Bombyx mori: one gene and its partners. The protein of the gene in region 2 interacts with the protein of the main gene of each other region in a pairwise test. Links are inferred from orthologs where the notes say so. Each region holds a gene or a part of one and is shown on either strand. Other genes may lie near its edges. The genes, in order: splicing factor ESS-2 homolog, Erk and Dhs.

Region 1 (8,132 bases), on a different chromosome or scaffold from region 2:
CGTATAAATTTTGACTTGGAATACTGTCAGAGAAAAAAAAAACAATTTTTAATTTTGAATGTAGGGGCAACAGTATGAATAATGTACAAAAATTTTTGGAACAAAAATTGTTGAAAAAACTTTTTTTTTTTTTATTTCTCTTCAAAAAATAAATATTTTTACGGAAATATCAAATATTCAAAACAATTCAGTACGTTTAAATTCGCATTAAAATTGGTAAAATAACTAATTTTTTAAGATAAAAAAGAAATCACAAAAATATGTCCCTCTAACGTCCATAAATCAATACAATCACTTTTATGCAAAATGTATTTAGTACAAATTCAGAAAGTTTTATATTTTTTACTCCGAAATTCTAACTAGAAACCTCATGGGTTATTGTAAGTCACGTGGCCTCGCTAGTGCCAATAGTAACGCGGCAAGCAAGAACGAAGACAGCTGTCGATATGCGCTCTCTCTCACACTACAGCTTGTCTATAGCTGTACAGGCCCGTACTCATCCATTATTTGTTTGATCACCTGGCAGGTAGAAAGCCCTACTGAAATGATCTGTCTTTTTGGGAATCTTATTTTTTAGCTATAAATAACACTCCATTAAAATTTCAAGCTGCCTCAAAAACATTTTTTATAATTTTTTGCAAAAATTTTTTGCACGCTTCTGGTAATGTTACAACCCCGATTAAATTGTCTGGCTTATTTTTTTTCGTATTTATTAAGTATTACACTGCAACATATATAAATTGCGTATTGCCTCAAATATATTTTTGGGGAAAAAAAATTAATATTTTAAAAAATGTAGGGGTTGATTTAGCCCCGCTACTCACCAGCCAGGTCTGCAATTCCGTGTTGGAATATAATAGGAGAGGTGTGTGACAAGTTTTCAGCTTGCCTCAAATACCTACCCAAAAATTGGTACCAGCTCTCGGACTATATAGTCCGTGCTTAAGAATAATAATCAAATGTCTTACTTCATGTGGCCTTTCCGTTTGATCAGCTTGTTGTTCTATGGAGGGTAAAGCTAGTGCTTCATCTGCGAGTGTTGCAGACGTGATCTCGGCTTGAAGCTGCGATGCTATTTTATTTGCACGCTTCTTTTGCTCCAACGATATAACTCGATCGTAGCTTTCGTTGTCCTCGCTCGTGTGTTTGGCCAGAAAGGAATCTGTGAATTTTTTACATATCTATATATTAATACGTAAAGCAAAAACTTTGTATCCCTTTTCACGAAAATTGCGCGGACGGAAGAGTATGAATTTTTCCACACTTATAGAGAGTATAGAGAAGAAGTGCACAATGCTAATATTTTTTTTAAATAATGCATAAAAGATACATTAAATCAATAAAGAAAACATTACACACACTACATACCATGTATTCAGTGCTGCCAGATGGCCGTGTGAATTTCCCCCCAACTTTTTTCTAAAACCCCCCGAAAATAGGCTTTTTGAAGAAAAAAAACCCCCAAAACAGTTTTTACTTATTTTAAAGAAGAAATAAAAAACCAAAAGGATTATTTTATTTTTTAATCAAGCTATCCCTCGATCATATTCACTTTCATTATTATTATTTAATGCTTTAAATAATAATAATGCTCGTTTTCGAAGTTAAAGATATTTAACATGTCCGATGTGGGAACAAAATTTATGCATCTATTTGGCAGTGAAAATCGAATCCTGAGAACCGCTTCGGCAGTTTCTATTGCTATTTGGTTGCATAATTTGTCCTTTATAATATTGACTTGTGAATAGTATATAATTATTCTAATTGTAATTGCAAATTGATACTCAAAAAACCTCCGAAATTTCTCCCAACTAACTTTTTCCCCCCGAATGTCCCCCCAAAGAATCTTTCCCCCCGATTTTCCCCCCCAAGGTCGAAAAACCCCCCGAATTTGCAGGGAATCCCCCCCATCTGGCAACTGTGCATGTATTTGACGCACATACGCATGCATACTATTTATTGTCAAACTTTTGTTCTTGACGTCTGTTGTCAAGTTGAGAATAGATTAAATATTGTTTGTCTTTGTTAATATTTTTTATAGTGAAGTCTTGACGAAATTTGTGATTATAGAAGTATAAAATACAATCATAATAGTGTACAAACTTACAATTCCAATTAATTATGGTCGAATTTCGACTACTGCAGGACCTCTAGTAATAAAAAAAACTTGTTGTGTTCTAAAACATGTGTATACCAAAACTATTATACATACACTAATGTTCTATATATACTAAATATTCCAAAATATAAAAATATATATAAGATCACTTTTTTTTTAAATTATGTTCAGGAAATTTTCTTAATATTATAACTTTGCATTAAAAGTTGACGGTAAAAGTGTGAAAAGCATAACTAGAATTTGAGAAAAGTGTTTTAGTAATCATAGAGCCTACATAGAAGGCAGGCAATTTTAAAATTTATTTTCAAAATCACTTGTTTCCTTTAAATGCATGTTATAAGTAAAAGTCTATAAGTCACTCAAACTGAAATGCTATTTCGGTCAGTAAGCTTACACAAACATACACAGCTTATTAATCATTATTAGTACCGCCATCTAACGTGAAATGGCAAAAATTATTATACAATTAACTAACAGTAGTAAGTAACAGGTGCTATCGGAAATGAATGAAAAATTATAGATATGAATTTAGTTATTAATCAATTTTATTCGAAGCGAAACCACAAACGGATTTCCCGAAGCGAAACGAAGCGAGTGAATTGTGATAATTGAAGTGTACCTTAGGTGTTGTATTAAATAGTTTTAATTAGTAATTCCGTGGGAATTTTTATTTATTCGGCTGTAACATTCAACAGACAAACAACTATTACAAACAAATATTATGAATTCGGGAGCTGTCCTCTCTCCTGCTCCTTTTACCGATATTTAAATTAAAAAATATTTACCTAAGCTGTGGTTATCAGTAATATCTGCGGTTTTGTCTTTAGTGGCATTTTTTGTTTGTCTGGGAGCATCCTCATTGTTGGTAGCAGGAGTGCACGGCCGGTCAATGTTTGGCGTGTCAAAAGTGGCTGGGGTGTTATCTGTAATTTAATTTAAAAAAATTATAGCCATAGGATCAATAACATAATATAACATAGTGCAATTACTGGTGGTAGGACCTCTTGTGAGTCTGCGCAGGTAGGTACAACCTCCCTGCATATTTCTGCTGTGAAACACTGATGCGTTTCAGTTTGAAGGGTGGGGCATTTATAGTTGAGACCTTAAAACTTATATCTCAAGGTGGGTGGCGCTTTTACATTGTAGATGTCAATGGGCTTCAGTAACCACTTAACACCAGGTGGGCTGTGAGCTGGTCCACCGATATCAGCAATAAAAAAAATTGATGATTAATAAGCATGACTTTCCTTTTCTTCTTGCTGCATCTGACATGAGTTTGTACAACCAACCACCTGCTCTATGACACACTTTTTGGTTATATATGCATATTATATGCAGCATATATCTATTGGCACGGTAGCCAGCGGCTTGGCTCTGCCCCTGGCATTGCTGAAGTCCATGGGCAACGGTAATAACTCACCATTAGGTGGGCCGTATGTTCGTCTGCCTACAAGGGCAATAAAAAAAAATAAAAAAATTTGCAATGTACCATAGTTTCTGTTTTTTTTGTGTTTCATTTGTTTTACATTTATTTATGTTTCTACAATTTGCATTTTATTATTTTAAACATTTTTGCTTTTTATTTGTTTTTCTGCAAATTCATAATTTATTAACAGACATATTTATTTACTGATCAATAAATAAATCACAGCATACAATTATACATAATTCAAACTGGTCAATACAAGATTCGGACACACATTTACTAACATCAATCACTAGGTGGGTTTATGTCTACATGGCTCACAGTCTACTCAGAGTTTATTGGTAACAAAAACTCATATATCCAATATATGTGCTGCCACTTTCATACATGTGGGTAGTCTCAATTATATTGCACAAGCTGTCCGATCCTTCAAATTGGAACACATGATTACTGCAGCATAACTAGACAGGATTATTACACCCATCCTTGCGGGCTGACAATATGGCCAGTAAAATCTTTGACTATTTACATAATAATTTCACACCCCTTACTACTTCGAGAACAACTGAAAAGTGAAATATTAGTATACTAACATGGTTCTGTAGGTGGTCTGTTCCCGCTATACTTTTGAGTTAATTCTCGAAGTCTCTGATAGTCTTTGTTTTCTGTAGCCTCCAAGTATTCGTTCTGTGCATTCAGTTTCTCTAGGTCAGGGAAGAAATCTCTTTGAATAATTTTTGCTATGCCCTGAAAATATGGCAACAACACTTTATTGTTTTTTAATGTCTTGTTAATTATATAAATAATTAAATAATGCAACAGAGCCTCTCTCTACGATCTGTGTTTTGTAAAATTCAAGATTTAAAAGAACATCATTAGAAATATAGCACAACTTACCTCCACATAAGCATCTTCCTCTAAAACCTTGCTCTTCTTCTCTGACTTCTGTTTGGGTATTTTTGGTACTTTGAACACAGTAGTCTCAGCTTTCAACAGCTTCATGTTCTGTAATGCTGCCTCTCCAGGCCTCATAGCGCTTCCTCCAGCTGACATTCTTTATAATGTTTGTTGCTTGTTTAATAATGTGCGTTTATAAAAATTATTTAAATAAACTACAGAAGGATATTTTTAGGGCTTTTAATGCCCTAATAGGTTCAATAATCTAGATTTCCTTTTAAGTATTTTTAATTTCTGTGTTGTAGTGTGAACTGTTGTGACACATGTCACACAGTTTTGTTGACAAATGTCAATTTATAAAGTGATTTTATGAACTGGTAGCTAAGACTTTTAAGTCGTGTCTTATTTTAATGTATATTCTTATTTTTATAAATAGTGATAATATGGAGTGAAATGAAACGAAGATGATTAATTTGAGACATTAATCAACTGGGACGAAATAAAATAAAATGAGATGTGATGATATGGGATGAAATATAATCTTAGTAAAATGGTGGTCATTTACTAAGATTTTTTCAGTATACTTTTTGGAGGATCCCGAGAAGTTACGTCCAGCGGCTTTGTTCCATTTGCTCACATTTGTGCACTTTCACAGATATTAAACAGTTAATAAACCACCGTTATTACACATTTAAACCTGAAGAAACACTAAATAGACAAATTAAACAAATCACACAACTTCACTCCTCGCGTTCCGACGGTGCGTACGGTAATCGCACGGTGCGTTCATTAGCGAACTCCTCTCCAAACGCAACATTGATATGCGAGCTGTTTCTGCAGCGTTAGTTCCGGGTCGGAACCCATATTTAAAAATCACTCGAATTTTCGAAGTATCCATCTTTCTTGTTTAAGCTGAATAAAAAAGCAGCAGAATGTTGCACATTTTTCAAAAAAAGAACCTCATAGGTACCATCTGAAAAAAGTTTCACTCAAAAATCTCAAACCATGAAGGCTCTATATCAATTTGAGTACATATTACAATAAAACGGCACTTTAATACTTTAACACCTATTGTCAATTATATATAACTAGCAACCCGCCCTCGCTTCACTTGAGGGACCATCATGTATTATTGATTTTATTGAATTTTCTTTTATACAAATCTGAACCTGAGAAAATGATGTAATATAGGATATTTTATAGCGGACTGTATTATATTGTATATTGATTTTTGTATATTGTGTAATACAACCATTAGTTCTACCACGTCGCTCTCAAAGTACTTTGTCAGCACTGTCATTCCCCTATTCCCTATCTATTGCGTAGTCACTTCTGGCTGCTTCTGGCAATTCATAGAGCTACAAATGTATTTTCACCCTCTCAATTGATACACCATTTCAATTGAAGCCTGCCAACTTTATTTTTATACTTAAATGCCTTAAAATATTGGCACACAACGTTTATAGGTCCAACAGCAACGGTTTGCCGTGAACTGTGAAATTCAGCTTTTTTTACATCCTCTTAAGTATTTTACCAATACAACTTTAACCGAAGCATTTGTTTTAAACGATATTCAGTTTTTTTTACATCCTCTTTGGGGATATTTGCAGAACGCATTCTGTCAATGTTATGTCAAACATAAGGATCCATTAGAAAATTTCATGTGGTGAATAAGGTTTTTTAACTTTCCTAATTTTCTGCGCAATTTTCTTATTTTTTTATTTCTTATGACCAAGGGAAATAGGGATTCATTTTTATATAAATAGATACTTTTTGCGATAACCCAAAACATTTTTTGTTCCCGTTCAGGATTTTACTTGTGTAAAAATAGGTGTGACATAATTATGAAAATAATATAAAGTAATGTTAAAGCCAGATTTCAGATATCCATTGTGGCCCTTCTTTGTTTATTGCGATATTATTTCTAAATTCATGCATAAATAATTATAAAACTTAATTTATTGCCTATAATTTTTCTAAGCTATTATGTGAAATTCTTATGACATTTACATGTGTATGACATTTCCCATTTCGGAACAAAATTATTTGCGATTAATATGCAGAAGATAATTTTATATTTTATTATTTTTGATAAAAGATAATAATATCATGATACTCGGGTCACATTGTTGATATTTCTATCGTCACTTGCTTACGTTACGGCTCGGCGCACGAACGTGTTAATCACCATCACTCATCACATCACCATTAATCATCACTACATAGTATAAAACAAAGTCGCTTTCTCTGTCCCTATATCTCTATGTATGCTTAAATCTTTAAAACTACGCAACGGATTTTGATGCGGTTTTTTTTAATAGATAGAGTAATTGAAGAGGAAGTTTTATATGTATAATAACATCCGTTAAATAGTGGAGAAATTATTAATAAATTACAGTTTGCGAAGCGAAATGAGGGCGGGTCGCTAGTAATAGCTAAAAAGAGGGTAAAAGATTCAAACAAAACAAACATTATAAAAATATAATTTACTTATTTTAGGTTACTTAACTACTTGTTTTTATTTTTCTTTAAAATGTACGCCTTAATGTAAAAATCGGAGAATAAGAATAAAATAAATATATTATGTGGTAGGAATACAAATGACACCCATTTCGGATATTCGCACGAGGGTTCGAATAGAACGTGCCCGAAGTGTAGTATCAGCAATAAGAATTGTAACTGTAACAAGAAAAACGGAAAGAATTAAGGTTATATGTTTAAGGTGAAGTACAAAATCGTATACTTATTTACAAAGAGAAATAGGTTTTTATTTTTATTTTTTATTGCTTAGATGTGTGGACGAGCTCACAGCCCACCTGGTGTTAAGTGGTTACTGGAGCCCATGGACATCTACAACGTAAATGCGCCACACACCTTGAGATATGAGTTCTAAGGTCTCAGTATAGTCACAACGGCTGCCCCACCCTTCAAACCGAAACGCATTACTGCTTCACGGCAGAAATAAGCGGGGCGGTGGTACCTACCCGTGCGGACTCACAAGAGGTCCTACCACCAGTAATTACGCTAATTATAATTTTGCGGGTTTGATTTTTATTACACGATGTTATTCCTTCACCATGGAAGTCAATCGTGAACATTTGTTGAGTACGTATTTCATTAGAAAAATTGGTACCCGCCTGCGGGATTCGAACACCGGTGCATTGCTACATACGAATGCACCGGACGTTTTTTAGGCCACGACGACTTATATTAGGTATTAATAAAAAATTTGCTTTATTCAAACAGTGCATGACCTTTTTTAAAGGAAAAAAACGTTTGAAATTAGGTTTTTTTTAATTTTCTGTGCAATGACACAGCTCTCGTCTAGTGATCTACTTTACCACTATGTAATTTGTCTCCATGCATTTGAACGTTTGTTAACCTATTTTATGCTAAGATTACACTAAGATACAGATTATAGATTTTTTCGTCTGGGAACTAACGTACAGCTGTTTGATGGTAGGTTAAAAGATTATTCTAGGTACGCGCGGACAGGTTGGCGAGCTCACGGACTTGACCTGGAAAAAATTGCTAACACCGGCCCTAGCAAGAGCAGTGCTTTGCAGAATCCACCACTGTTTCAGACATGTTCCGGCGGTGGCGACTTTGCTCTGTCGCCTGGGTTGGATATGTAATTAGCGGCGGCCACGTTATGAGGATTTTCGTGCAACGCCGCTTTGTCGAAGTACC
Region 2 (8,032 bases):
ACAGTGAATCCGCATTCAATCACACGTCAACCGAAAACGTCCTGAATATCGCAATCGTGAATTTGCTGATTTCAATTATTCATCCAAAACAGTTCTTTACATACGACAAACAGACGTAAGCACCAAATGACGTCAATCATGGGCTTAAATTGCAATACGTATTGTCTTTGCTTTGCTTCGATCTATATAAAAACTGCTTCTGTCATTATCATATGGTTGTAAGCTTAACATATGCGGTGGTACCAACTATGTTATAGAGTTACATTCCAAGGTCTTTGTAAAAATTACCCTTTTTTTTTTCTTAGTGTCACACAACTCTAATTTGTATTAAAACATTTTTAAAGGCAGGTTTTTTGATATTGGAAGCAGCAATAAATCTATTTTTTGCTAAAAACTATCAATCTATAAAATGGAAATTTCACATAGAGTGCTTTTAATTTGAGAACACACATATACAAGTGTGTATGTATTTTATTTTATGGAATCAAGCTAGGCCGACTCTATCTAGTAGTTGGTACAAGGGACAAAAAACTATTATATAAAAATAATTTTGGCTTACATTATATATATATTTATTTCCTTATATTTGTAATTCAAAATGTGATTCGATATGGCAGGTTCAGACGCTTAATTCATTTTTCACTGAATATAAAATCGTAGTCTAACTTTGGAGTGCTCACAGTGTACATTAATAAAAGACAGGATTGATAAATCATTCGCATCGATGGTACGTCAGAAAGTTCCGCTATCCTGGATTTTGACTGTCTTGCCAATGTTTTAGCATGTCAGTCGAATTTCAGAAGTAAGGTATCATTATAAACAACAGGCTTATTAAACAATGGTTCCATTTGCCTTCTATTACTATAATAGCTAATAAGCTCAGCACTAAAAAGGTTAAAGTCAGGTCCAGCCAAAAACGATTACGTGACTCCAACGACCAATTCAATTGCGTTTAAATAATCCAAATTTTTATTTTTTATTTTTTATTGCTTAAATGGTTGGACGAGCTCACAGCCCACCGGGTGTTAAGTGGTTACTGGAGCCCATAGACATCTACAACGTAAATGCGCCACTCACCTTGAGATATAAGTTCTAAGGTCTCAGTACAGTTACAACGGCTGCCCCGCCCTTCAAACCGAAATGCATTACTGCTTCACGGCAGAAATGGGGAGGGTGGTGGTACCCACCCACGTGGACTCACAAGAGGTCCTGCCACCAGTAATCCAAATATGCACTAATAGCTACTTAATGTGCACTTAGTATCGATCGTACTAACCTATGTCTAAATACATCGGACGAGTTATTATATTACGAGTAACCTCAATCAAAACAGTAAAAAAAAATATAGCAGTACAGTTCTACTGAGAGTACTATAGACGTTTTACGGTAGATGATTCTAGAAATAAAAAATTCATAGCTTCTTCAGTGTCTTACCAACCGTTAATCCTGAGCAATGTATTACGGCAACGTCGAAACTCCTCGAGATCTCGGCTTTTCGAGTGAAGGGGCTCGTTACAAGTGCTTTTCACGTTTTGGTTCGAGCGGATATACAATTTCTTTGCATATTTTGTTTTTTTAAAACTCGGGTATACTTTAGTGGAAGCTCAGTTATTTTTTCGTTGCTGTTACAATAATAAGTTGTTCTGTTTTTCTTTTGCGAAAACAATAAACAAAAGAATTAAATTCTGATCTAAGTACTCCTATTTTGAATATTCTTAACTTATCTTTTTTTTGTAACTTTTTTTTTATTGCTTAGATGGGTGGACGATCTCACAGCCCACCTGGTGTTAAGTGGTTACTGGACCATAGACATCTACAACGTAAATGCGCCACACACCTTGAGATATAAGTTCTAAGGTCTCAGTACAGTTACAACGGCTGCCCCGCCCTTCAATCCGAAACGCATTACTGCTTCACGGCTGAAATAGGCAGGGTGGTGGTACCCTCCCGCGCGGACTCACAAGAGTCACAAGAGGTCCTACCACACGTAAAAGTACTTCTGATCTACTCCTGTTTTAAATATTTTTAACTTATCGTTTTTCTTTTTGTAACTTAGGATTGCTTTGTTAATTTTTTATTATTGTATTGAACAGATTTGCGACTTCGGTCTGGCGCGAGTTGCGGATCCTGATCACGACCACACCGGTTTCCTCACGGAATACGTAGCCACGCGCTGGTACCGTGCTCCTGAAATCATGCTCAACTCAAAGGTATATAGTCTATAATATTATTATATCGAGAGGTGAAAGGCTATTTGGTTTAAGGGACATTTTTGCAACTTTAAAAGATAGGCATTTAAAATTAAAAATTTGGGAAAAAAATATAACAAAAAACTTCTTCAGCTATTTGATTTAAGGTAAACTTAATTAAAGTTCATTTAAAAACATCGAATTGTTGATGTAATTCCAAATAAAATGAATCTTTAATTACAAAGATAAATGATGTCGCATATTAAGCCAAATGTCGTTCAAACCAAATAGTTTTTTACCACACAATATAGTTCGGCTTGTTGTATCATGATGAAAACTGATAAATAATAATTTTCGAATGAAATGCTGAACGTACTTCGTTTTCTTCTAGTCAAAAATCGCGTTACAAGCTTATAAGAAAGACAAAACGTATGAAAATATCCGTGAATTCGTTTGAAATCCACTTGAACAAATAATTGAGATTACTAGAATGATTTTGAACAGCAAACATTGATAATACACTCACTAAATATGTTATTCGATAACACCGTAATACGTTACTATGTATGTGATATTTATTAAACGCGACGCGTAATGCGCCTGTATCGATGACGAATTGTATTTTTGAATGTTTGTTAAATGAATCATTGTTTTACTTATTAAGGCTAAGCGTAGACAACAATAGATGCTATGGCCCAAATTATTTAAATTTTCTCGCTTATCTATACTATTATCTTGTTACGACGATTTTTAGTTGGAATTCCCTATGTTCAGTGCTGTCGCGAGCGCGGTGGTCAAAGGTAGGCAAAAGATTGCGGGGTACGCGATTATCCGTGTTAAAACAAAAAAAAAACATGCTAATAATATTATAAATAGTATCGATAATCTATTGAAATAATGTTATCTAAACAAATACAAAACGAACACCAAGAACGAAGAATGTCCGATGGTTTCGTCTAAGTAATCTAGACTTTTTATGATTATTCTTAAGTTGGCCGACGCAGTTTTAGCAACGAACATACCACTCCATATACATAAAAAGTAAAAGCAAATAAAGCTCGCATCATAAAACTCAATGCCTCAAGAGACAAAACTGAGAGAATTTACGTTCCGCATAAAAGTCAACCTAAGCTGGAGTAATTTCTGTCCTGGCCCCCAAACTTGGCAAGAATTACACGTATCGTACGCAGAGGTATCTTTACATCGAGGCCCCGAACCTATTTGTTTACAGAAGAATTCGCATTCACATTTCACCTCCGCAATATACTTCACAGTTAAATGTTGAACGTGCCTGTGCGATAAAACACTTGAGGAAAGTAATACGATTTAAATGAAATTCTAAAGGACTTCTTAACTCACCAAATAAGTAGACTTCATTTGCTCTAATTGATTATTAACTTTATATGTTTCTAAAAATATAATAAACACATTCTTAACATGTGAAATATATCCTGAAACTTCCCTTACATATTGGCTTTACGTATTTCATTAGAACATTTTTGGATTCAATACATTCCTGCTATTCTCCTCGTTTAGGATATTTTGGCGTTATTCGCTGCCTCAATGTCAGTGAAGGCCTATAATATATGGAGACAAGAATCTTATCCGTCTGGCGTAATCGAGATCAAGTTTTGAGATGAAACGACAAAACAAAGCCCTAGTCTCTACATAAATTATATAATTTATTATGTTATTATCTGCGGCTTTATTTTGCCTTCTGAATAAACTATGGATGTTTTCAATTCTCCCTCAGAATTTATTACGTATTTAAATTTAATTAAAACAAAATGTCTTTTTCTCTCTCGCGCGATATACCGGGTAGACCTTAATAAAATTTCGTTTTTAAATCTATAGGAGACCGTACAAGCTCACGTATTCATAAATCCACAATTATTAGGTTGGTATTGTAGTCATAAATCTAGTCCCGAACGTTGACACATTTTAGGTACATCTGCTTGGGCGAGTAATGAAATTTTCTGATATAAAACGATTTTTGTTTTAACACAGGGCTATACCAAATCAATAGATATTTGGTCAGTGGGATGTATTTTGGCGGAGATGCTGTCCAACAGACCTATATTCCCGGGCAAGCACTATTTGGATCAATTGAATCACATTTTGGGAGTGCTCGGTTCGCCGAGTCAGGAGGATCTTGATTGCATCATTAACGAAAAGGTAAGCCAGTTGTAATATACCGATGAATTGTGAATGTTTAATATCCGAAGGGCCGAGATTAGTGGAAATTTTGAATTTCCTTTTAAAGTACTTTTGAAACTAATAAAAACTGTTGCATCATATTCAACTCAGTGTTTTACATAATGTTTAACAATTAATTATGTCTAATATTAAAATTTGTTAATATGAATTTTATCTGACTTGAATTTTTTGAATGATATAGTTTAGTATTTAGTATAATTCGACGTCGTCCAACGGTCATTACGAATCCTCTCGATCCATTAACAGTGCTTTTAGGTAAAACAAGCACCGGTCACCGTCCTCGTCGAACCCGTCGCTTGCGACGAAGGGCTCGACGAGCGAATTAACCCATAGACGCAGCCCACTGAATTTCTCGCCGGATCTTCTCAGTGGGTCGCGTTTCCGATCCGGTGGTAGATTCTGCGAAGCATTGCTCTTGCTAGGGTCAGTGTTAGCATCACTCGGGCTTGAGCCCCGTGAGCTCACCTACTAGTTAAGGTTACGCTGAAATAGCCTCCCAAGGCTATCATCAGCTTAGGTAAGAAAAAGAAAAATAGTATTATTTTAATTTAGAGACTATATTATTTATGAAGAATTTGCTCATTGTAATTACAAAGGTTGAACCATCTGTTTTTTTATTCCTTTGTCATTCTAAAAACTACACAGCCCGAGGCTACTACCATTACAGACATCCACTTTATTACATACAAAGGAAAATCCATTTTGATATCTGAGATCGCATCATATCATCTGTTCAACTATCCTGAAAATGATAGTCTACTGTTAATTATATATAGACTTATCGACAGTTACTATTAAAAAACTCGTTCGACGTATAGACAATTGAATCTACACCTCTCATTATACTCTGTAGGCTTTATTGCATCCTTTTGTCTGTATGTTTAGTGATTTCGTTTCTTATAAAGAGTGAATTCATTTCATACCACGTGGTAACTAATATAATAAGAGTGTGGGTGGGATAGTGTGAGTTTAAAAGTCTTTAATTCTTTTTTTCGGTATTTATTGAAAGAAATTTCGAATTTTCTGGTTATTCTGTTTAATTATTTTATTCAGGATAAAATATATTATAAATGGATTCTTTCGTGAAGTGGCGACTTGAATCGCACGTAATGATGTAAACTCTTCGTTTTTGTGCTCTTTTTCTAAGAGCCTAAGGGTTTTCTTGAGTTGACTTGGTTGAATAAGATACGTATTTAGACCGCGAATCAAATGAGTCCTTTAAAGGAGGGTCATTAAGAGTCTATGTCCCATTAAACTCTCAATACTGTTGAGCTGCATCTTAGTTTACCTTAATATGTGAGTGACACTTTGTCTGCCTATTCGATATTGTTTCGAGGTTTAGTTAATGCTTTGTACACGGTACTACTACGGGAAGTTTTGAAATCTAGTTGTTTTGCTATAATATGTAATCTTTTTATCTATCGGCTTATTCAGAACGTTGTAGGTAACATATTTATGCAATCGCAATGGGCTTTTGATACTGTTATATTAATTTTTTGATGTTGACTAGCAACATACATATTTTTTAATTAAACGTAATCATACGTTAACAACAAAATAAAATTGTTGCTAAAAGTAATGTGACGATGATGTTGAAAGAAATTTTCTGTAAATAGTCTTCGATTCAACATATTTGTTACAATACTTACAAATTAAGTGCTTTACAAAATTACTAAGGTTCTAACAATAACAGCTTTATAATATTATATTCAATTTTATTACTCTCGGGATTGCTCGATGTAAAATCAGCACAACAAAGACGTAAACGGAATGTTTTTAATTTTCCTTTTAAATCGACTTCGTCTATTATACGCAGCGTCGCGAGTGGAAAAGTTTTCATACCGCTTTTGTATAATTTTGGGCCTGAAATTTGCCGCATTAATTAACCTCATCAAAAATTCAATTATAATTGAATATGGCAATTCCGAAAAGGGCACATGTCGCATATTTTGTCAAATACGTTTTTTCATATACATGTAGTTTTGAGGCTTACTTACACCCATTTTATAATAATTCCAGTAATTTTCAATTACTAATTAACACTAAGATATATCTCAAAAGTTAATATTTTAAATTTTACACTGCTTTGAAAATAATCAGATATTTTTTTTCATTTCCTGAACATTTTACATTTTCAGAGATGTGCCCTTTTCGAAATTGCATATTCAATTATAAAAGACTAGCGACCCGCCCTCGCTAAGCTTCGGAAACTATAATTTATTATTGATTTCTCCACTATTTAATGGATGTTATTATACATATAAACCTTCCTCTTCAATCACTATCTATTAAAAAAAACTGCATCAAAATCCGTTGCGTAGTTTTAAAGATTTAAGCATACATAGAGACAGACAGATATAGGGACAGAGAAAGCGACTTTGTTTTATACTATGTATTGATTTACGAATGTTTGCGTTTGCTCCTAATGTTTAGCCCAAAATGTTGTTTGCTGTTCAATCAGGCTCGTGGTTACTTGGAGTCGTTGCCGTTCAAGCCTCGCGTGCCGTGGGTGGACCTCTTCCCCGGAGCGGACCCTCGCGCCTTGGACCTGCTCCATCGCATGCTGACTTTCAACCCTCACAAACGCATCACGGTCGAGGAAGCCCTAGCCCATCCGTACCTCGAGCAGTACTACGACCCGAATGATGAGGTATGTAATAAACGTTGTTTTCATAGACGCTTGTTTTGAATTGGATTCTACTATTATTGCTTATGGATTTGACATTGACCAATTCAAAACATCGAAGAAGTGCGTTTGGCCTTATGACCGAAAGTAATAAGATTTGACAACAATAAGACAAGACATGTCTTCGGCCTTACGATCAAGAACAATGAAGACGTGGCTTCGGCCTTTAAAACTACCAAAATTTTCCAATTATTACCAAAAACAAGACCTGGCTGTATGGACTAAAGTCCTTGGCCTTTCCCATTAGGGATAAATTAATATCATCATCATTGTTTTGAATTGTACGTTGCATTTTGAGTTGCACATGCATGCAGTGACTATGGTGTGTATGGTCGCAGACGCGGTGATTTTATCCCTTAGTACCAAAATATTTGCGAAGCAATCATGCTGAATTCATGCATGAATTGGAACACGATTATCCCATACTAGTAAATACTTATGCAATTAATTACAATCTTAAGTGAAATTCGTTTATTTATTGTATTATTATAATTCGATGAAAAGTAAATTTAACAATTTTATGTTCTATAAATAAAAACGAAAGCAAACAGGTGGCATACGATTGTAATTAAATGAAAAAAAAAAGAAAATATTTGAGAAAAAAAAAAAAAAAAAATGCCCGCTGTGTTTGTTTCGCCGGTTCTTCTCAAGACTGTGGCTTTTTTTGGAACCGGTGGTAGAGTTAACATTTTCATTTATATTTTACCATTCAACTAGTGTGTTTTTGATGACATCCAAGTTGAAATAAATGGTTTTGAATTTGAATTTGTATTTCAAAAGTTATATGAAAATCGATGTAAGTTAACAAAAAAAAAAGGTTTCACTAATAATAGGAACGAATGTCTTCTAGTAGCACGCAAATTTACGTAATACGTTTTAAACACTTTTTAATTAAATGCAAGCTTTTGCGTTCGGTGAAAAATTATGCACGGTCCTTGAA
Region 3 (7,661 bases), on a different chromosome or scaffold from region 2:
CCAATTACGAAGTCCCTTTCGACACTTTTTAGAACATAACTCTTCGTTACGCATAATCTATATATTAAATAAAAATGAATTGCTGTTCGTTAGTCTCGCTAAAACTCGAGAACGGCTGTACCGATTTGGCTAATTTTGGTCTTGAATTATTTGTGGAAGTCCAGATAAGGTTTAAAAGGTAGATAAATATGAAAATTCTCGGAATTAAATAAAAATACTTAACAATTTTGTTTTTCCTTTGCTGTCTCTCGTCGAACGAATTCCTTTTGTTTGTCTTATGTTTATTTTATACAAAAGTTTAGGTCTTTTATTTATCGATTGAGGCAATACGTGTGGAAGATTTCATACTCCTCCGTCCGCGCAATTTTCGTAAAAAAGGATACAAAGTTTCTGCTTCACGTATTAATATATAGATAATAAAATCTGTCAAACGGGACTTCGTAATTGGAATAGATTAAAGTGGGCTGGTTTCTGAAATAAAAGGTTTTAATGAATTAGAAAAAAAAACAATATTTATTTTAGATTAAAGTGTAATGGTCAGTGATTGCAAAAAATGTATGTACCTAATACGTGTAATGTTGTTTGTTGGTCAATATTTGGTCATTGGTTCCAATATATTGGCGCAAACTGTCATTTGCATCATTTCACGTTGTTTACATAAAGTGTTATTCATTTATTTGTCGTTCGTCGAATGCATTGTGCTTTGAAGGCCGTGTTATAAAATTGTCGTAATGAAATTCCTTTGTTTTTTTACGAAACAGAAAACACAATTACGGCAAATATGTTTACAAATACATTTAGATGTAACTACATACGTAAAAAAGCATATTTATATCGAGTTATGAAAGGTTTTTCGATTAATACGCAACATTTATCTTTGTAGTTAAAAGTTCGTTTTTGACTGGTGGTGGTAGGACGTCTTGTGAGTCCGCACGGGTAGATACTACCGCCCTGCCTATTGCTGCCGTGAAGCAGTAATGCGTTTCGGTTCGAAGGGTGGGACAGCCGTTGTACTTGCGACCTTAGAACTTATATCTCAAGGTGGGTGTCGTATTTACGTTGTAGATGTCTATAGGCTCTAGTATCCACTTAGCACCAGGTAGGCTGTGAACTCGACGGTCCATCTAAGCGATAAAAAAAAGGGTAATCAGTAGTCCCTCGATCTTTCTCTATGTGATGTTCAGACTGCTGTTTTTTTTATTGCTTAGATGGGTGGACGAGCACATAGCCCACCTGATGTTAAGTGGTTACTGGAGCCCATAGACATCCACATCGTAAATGCGCCACCCACCTTGAGATATAAGTTCTAAGGTCTCAAGTATAGTTACAACGGCTGCCTCACCCTCCAAACCGAAACACATTACTGCTTCACGGCAGAAATAGGCAGGGTGGTGGTACCTGCCCGCGTGGACTCACAAGAGGTCCTACCATTAGTTATATAGGATTGTCAGTCTCTGGTACCTATACCACATGGAATCCTAAATTGGGGCCGGACAACCGTGCGTAATTAGCTCGCAATTATTTAATTTATTAAAACAAATCTTATTTGTAAAAGGTGATCAAAATCTAACAAAATTATCCGCATACATTCGTTTCGTATCATTTGCGGTTACATGATCGGACACAGTGTAAATTGTTCGCAGATACTCAGGTTTAAAACTTCAAGGTTTTTAAAGAGCTTTTTTTCACTTATTATAGATTTTAAAAGCACTACCTAGTGAACTTGATTGGTGACGCGACTTGCAGATTCAGCGTGGATGAACTGACACTGCATTATGACGTACTTAATGGATGCGCTTGGCAAATACGTCAATGGACATCTCAGGCAATGGATTTTAGATAAAGATATGAGGTTATTATATTTGCTTTTGTTTATTGATAAAATAGGTAAACGAGTTCCCGGTCCTCTAGGTCTTAAATGGTCACCGGAGCATATAAACATCAAGCACGTCAATGCCACCGCCCATCTTGAGACTACTATCTATACAAATACTACAAATCTATACTAATATACAAATCTACCGTTAGTTATAACGGAACATCCACCACCTGAACCATGCATCCGATTGACTGTAGAAAATACATGTACTTAATGGATAGGCTAATATTTATATGAGTGTTAAACTCCCTAATAATAATGACAATAAATAATAATGTTAAGTTTAAATGCCCAGCGAAGCGGGCGAGTACAGCTAGTAATATAATAAAAACATAAGAAAAACTAAGTCCGTGAACGTTGAAATACGAATGACCCTTTGAACATTAGCTACACTGTGTCAAATCCCGTTTGCTTAACACATACGTAACACCTGCGCATGCGTAGAAAGTCGAATACAAGCACATCTTACCACAAATATGCCGGCCTTCTCCTACATCATTATTATTGTATGTACTTGACGGATAATAATTTAATTTTCATAAAACTTGTTTCTCAATCAGCAACGGACTACAAAAAAAAAAAATACTATTTACATTGTAGTTTTAAAAAAAATCGTTAATTAAGTAAAAGGTCGACTTGAAAAAAAATATCGTTTTATTCCTTGTTATCTTGCACAGTTTATAACAACAACTTATTAAAATTATTGTACTGTAATCGAATCTCGATACGTGTACAAATTTTTAAATCAATTTGACATTTTAAAATTGTGGAAATTAACGTTAAAAGATATACAAATTAGATAGGTAGAGAGATTGATACAAGTTTATAAAAGCGTAGTAAAAAAATAGTACCAATTGAGGATAAGCTCTTGAAGTGAGTAATTATAAAACAAGAGAGTTTCTTTAATTTATAGTACTGACATTTTAGTTACATATTGAAATTTTATTTCACTAAATATATCTAATGATTCCACAGTAGATCTATCGATTAGAGCGCAAACCGCCAATTATGTGGCTGGTTATTATTTGTGTGTATAAATATATGTCAGCGCAGCGGGGCTGGCTAAGCGGTAGTTTCCGTCATCACTCGTATTTGGTTGAACTCAGTTTATAAAAAGTCAAAACAACGTCTTAATATTACTAAAAGTCGTTAACCACGACATATATATATATATAGGTTATCGCTTATTTCAAACTGGAATTGAATAGAATCAGTGTTTTGGAATGGTTTCCTATTGTCCTTTTTACATTTTGATTTTTAACTATTTGTACTATAACTCCGTGTCAGTTAGCCGTTGTGTTCTTTAAGCTCATGTCTCATTTAGATAATTACCTAAGCATACAGTTCTGTAGATAATTCGTGTGTCAATACGACTTTTGAGAAACTATGTGTAGTGATCTAGTGCCTTTTTATTTATAAAATTTAAACCGGTGACAACTGACAGCTCTCAGTCAGTAATGTCAAATGACATTATTGACCAATGACAATTCAAATCAAACTAAATTTATTTATTAGATTAAAATATTTTCGATTGGGACGTTGATTTATATTAAGGGTATTATGGGTAATTGATCTGGAAAATAACAAAAACAGCTATGGAAATCCCGTGCAACGTCGAAAAACCTGTTAAAGTAGCCCCAAATATTGCCGTAAATGCGGTTCTGCAACCGAGCCAAGATTTACCTGCAGAAACACCGATAGTCGCGGGCTACGACTGGGAAAATGGAACCGATTACAATAAAATACTCGAATCTTACGCTAACTCCGGATTTCAGGCCACGAATTTCGGTAAAACTGTCGTCGAAATCAATAATATGCTCAAAAGCCGAGCGGTTCCGTTAACCGAAGAAAACAGCGATTGTTATGAAGAAGACCAGTTTATTAAGAAGAAAACTAACTGTACTATATTCCTCGGGTATACTTCTAACATGATATCCTCGGGACTGAGAGACACGATCCGTTTTTTAGTTAAAAATAAGCTTGTGGATGTGATTGTGACTACAGCTGGAGGGATCGAGGAAGACTTGATAAAATGCATCGCTCCGACCTATGTAGGTGATTTTAATTTAAGCGGGAAAGTGTTAAGAACACGAGGTATAAACAGGATAGGCAATTTGTTGGTGCCAAATGATAATTATTGTTTGTTTGAGGAGTGGGTCACTCCATTGTTGGACGAGATGATCTCTGAACAGATGAAAGAGGGTACTGTTTGGAGTCCGTCGCGCATCACAGCCCGGTTAGGGGAGAGGATTAACAATGAGAGCTCAGTGTGCTATTGGGCTTGGAGGAACAACATACCTATATTTAGTCCCGCATTGACTGATGGATCCTTAGGCGACATGATGTACTTCCACTCGTTTAAGCGTCCCGGACTGATCATAGACATATTGGGAGACCTGCGCAGATTGAACACCATGGCCGTCAAAGCCAACAACACTGGAGTCATAATATTAGGTGGGGGTTTGATCAAACATCATATTTGTAACGCAAATCTGATGCGTAATGGTGCTGATTACGCTGTGTACGTGAACACGGCCAGTGAATTTGACGGCAGTGATGCAGGTGCCAGGCCCGACGAAGCAGTCTCGTGGGGCAAAATCAGACCTAATGCGAATCCAGTGAAGCTATATGCAGATGCTACGTTAGTGTTCCCCTTGATCGTAGCTCAAACATTTGCTAAACATCATTTTAGCAGTAAGAAAAATGTTTAAACTGCATTTTTTATTTATTTTGTACATTAAAAACTAAATGATACCAAGATAAGTTTTATTTATTTATTTTTAAAATTTATTTTTTATGGACGAGCTCACAGCCCACCTGGTGTTAAGTGGTTACTGGAGCCCATAGACATCTACAACGTAAATGCGCCACCCACCTTGAGATATAAGTTCTAAGATCTCAGTATAGTTACAACGGCTGCCCCACCCTTCAAACCGAAACGCATTACTGCTCACGGCAGAAATGGCAGGGTGGTGGTACCTAACCGCGCGGACTCACAAGAGGTCCTACCACCAGTATATTCCGACTTTATATAAGTAAACTCAATTTTGTATGTACTAAAATAATGAATGCTGGCAAAGTTTATCCTAAAATGTTACAAGTCCTTCAAAATAAAACTTGGACACCTCATAAAATTATAAATACATTTATTGCAATATAGTGCCATCTAGTATCGGTCGATAATACAAGATAATTCTGTAAAGCGCCATCTATTATTAAACTTCGATAATATAATTGTGGTTTTGATTTTTGTATGATTTTATCTTGATTTTCACCATTTATTATGTTTTATAATATTGATTAATATACGAAATATGTGTAATTAGTTATATAATAAAGTTAGATGTATTGTTTGTTTAACCCATATTTCAGGACGAGTTAGGTGTGAATGAACTGTCAAATACCCAATGAAGTTAGCCCATGTCTGGTTTCCATAAAATTAAACATGTGTGCGTCTGTGAATTAAAGTCTCATAGATGTGTGCTGTACATAGAAAGCACAGCTTTTGAACCCCAACTTTTAGCTCATCTTTGGACGCGATACAGTGCGGTTGGTTGCGTCAAATCGTCCGCGTGCTTCCATAAATTCTTGTTATGATTCTTCCATTCGTCTTCTAATAATTAAAAAAAAATGAACAAAAGTCAAACATAACATTCTTAATTCAAATATTTAAATTATTTTGTGCCAGTTCGCTAAAATGGCTGTGATACGTTTCGTTTTATTCACGCTCATTTTAATCGGTAAGTCCTTTCGTCCTTTGTAGACTATTTATAGGTTCAGCCTGGCAGCCACAGATATTTAATGGGAATTTGTTAGGATACGTATAATTTGTTGCACGTTTTAACTGGAAACCGCTTTGATGTGACAGCGTGTGTGATGTTTTGTTTTTAATGTTATTGTTAGGGCCGGATGTTTGTTCTTACAGCCTATGTAGTCCTATTCACCGTCGAACATGTTTTATTATGATTTATTGTACGGCGATCGTGAATGTGATTAATTATAGTGAATACGATAATGATTCACAGAGATGTTTCTCTCTAAATATTTTACTAATATCCGAGACCTTTAATTCTTATATTTAGTATTCAACATATAGAAGCCGAAACCATGAATTAAATAAATAAATTAAAAAAAAAATTAAGTTTTTTTTTAAATTTTGCAATTTTAAGACAGCTTACAATATATTATCTTAATTATGCCATAATTGAAAAGTATGTTTAAAACAAAAAGCAGCAGAAAGAAATGAGTACCTATTATTGGCAAACTTTTTAGGTTCAATGGAATAAAATATAAATTCATGTTCAATAATTTATAATTAATCATTTTAATGCATACATGGTATACTAGAATTTGTTTTTCTGTTTTTCTAAGAATTATGATTTTGGTTGAATGTTCAAATGAGTACATTGAAAGAAATGTATAAAAATAAAAATACTAACTCAGCCAAATAATTGTAATGTCAGTCAATTCATTTTTCAAATGTAAGTAAACATTTTCTTGAGTATCTTGCTCCAATGTTTTAAACTATACTATACTTTTACTTACTTAATATATTATATTTATACTACTCTATACTATAGTTATACTATACTATACTTAGCTATAGTATAACCGTCCAATAAAATAGCTTGAAGAGGGGCCTGTTTGATGCTTTGTGACATAAGAATATAATGCTCTAAATAGGGCAGTACATGAGTGACATGAATATTCCTATGTACATCTCTAAAAACGCACTATCCACAGCAGTTGCAGTATGTATAGGCCGTATTCTTCCTACAAAGATTATAAGAAGAAGCTGAGACACATGTGCGCACAGTTAGGAAGCTCATCATGGAGGGGATGGCAAAGTTATTAAATTTTTAACTTTGTTCTATAAATAATGTAGGTACTAAAATTATTAAAATGACATCATGTGCTTTGTCCCTTTGTATAAAATATACTTGGGAGTGTCAGTGGACATTGCAGAGTCTAAATAGATCCCCAACCCTTCAGACAATAACTCCTATATCAATTTTCATTCACATTATATTAGCAGCTTGATACTCTAAATCTTAACCACGCTAACGCACTTACTCCAATCAAATGAATCTTTAAATGAATTCCGCGAGTCACATTCACGTGCAACATGAAACTTCTATGACCTAACTTGTAACATGTAAGTTGACTCGCAGTGATGCTATTGTGACGGTTTAAGGATAACAAGAACTGAATAAATTGATTATCTGTGTGACCCAAGGAAGAAACACGTAAAGGAATAACATTATTTCCTATCTTTGACTTGAAGCAAGAAAGATTTTGATTCCGTTTTCGCAACTCGACCGAGGTGGCATTATCATGTGACTTGAGACCAAACGTGCCGCATATATAAAAGACGAACGGCCATTCCCCGTAGCTCATTATTAAAGGATAACTTTCCTATTTTGGAACTTTTTTTTAACTTACTTCAAAGGCACACGAAGCTTGCGGTCATGCGTGAATTTCGCGATATAAAATACATGAAGTCAGTGTCGGAACGGTACTTCGATAAGGGGTCATGATAATCGTCTTATCGTTGCCGCCGCTGACTACTCCCCGCTGATCACGCAGGAGCCAGTCACCGTCGGCGCCCTAGACACGTCCTTACGGATACATCAGATCCAATTACCTTTGCATTAGACGCCTTCAGCTCTAACACTAGGAGCAGCCTTAGGGACCCCGGTAACCGTACGCGTCGAACTCGACAAAGAGGTCTACGTGCAACCTAACACATGCATCAGCCCGCTGAGTTTCTCGCCGGATCTTA

Evidence for each region.
Region 1: the proteins of Erk (region 2) and splicing factor ESS-2 homolog interact in a two-hybrid assay, tested with the Caenorhabditis elegans proteins (3 studies listed by BioGRID). The link is inferred for Bombyx mori from reciprocal best matches to the Caenorhabditis elegans genes mpk-1 and ess-2.
Region 3: the proteins of Erk (region 2) and Dhs interact in a two-hybrid assay, tested with the Caenorhabditis elegans proteins (2 studies listed by BioGRID). The link is inferred for Bombyx mori from reciprocal best matches to the Caenorhabditis elegans genes mpk-1 and dhps-1.

What each region holds. Positions count from the first base shown.
Region 1 is NC_085122.1:9,652,808-9,660,939, forward strand, and holds the start of splicing factor ESS-2 homolog, read right to left. Parts: upstream 5,213-8,132; 5' UTR 4,599-5,212; coding exon 4,443-4,598; intron 4,293-4,442; coding exon 4,139-4,292; intron 3,043-4,138; coding exon 2,905-3,042; intron 1,163-2,904; coding exon 969-1,162; intron 1-968. Other genes in the region: elongation of very long chain fatty acids protein AAEL008004, read right to left, coding at 6,951-7,121. UniProt on the Caenorhabditis elegans protein: Regulates pre-mRNA splicing.
Region 2 is NC_085116.1:4,097,391-4,105,422, forward strand, and holds part of Erk (extracellular regulated MAP kinase), read left to right. Parts: intron 1-2,093; coding exon 2,094-2,210; intron 2,211-4,196; coding exon 4,197-4,364; intron 4,365-6,867; coding exon 6,868-7,056; intron 7,057-8,032. UniProt on the Caenorhabditis elegans protein: Functions in let-60 Ras signaling pathway; acts downstream of lin-45 raf kinase, but before the lin-1 gene product in controlling vulval cell differentiation. Plays a negative role in proximal germline proliferation in the mitotic zone.
Region 3 is NC_085130.1:7,167,913-7,175,573, forward strand, and holds Dhs (deoxyhypusine synthase), read left to right. Parts: upstream 1-3,351; 5' UTR 3,352-3,474; coding exon 3,475-4,590; 3' UTR 4,591-4,639; downstream 4,640-7,661. Other genes in the region: tyrosine-protein kinase-like otk, read left to right, coding at 5,577-5,619. UniProt on the Caenorhabditis elegans protein: Catalyzes the NAD-dependent oxidative cleavage of spermidine and the subsequent transfer of the butylamine moiety of spermidine to the epsilon-amino group of a critical lysine residue of the eIF-5A precursor protein to form the intermediate deoxyhypusine residue.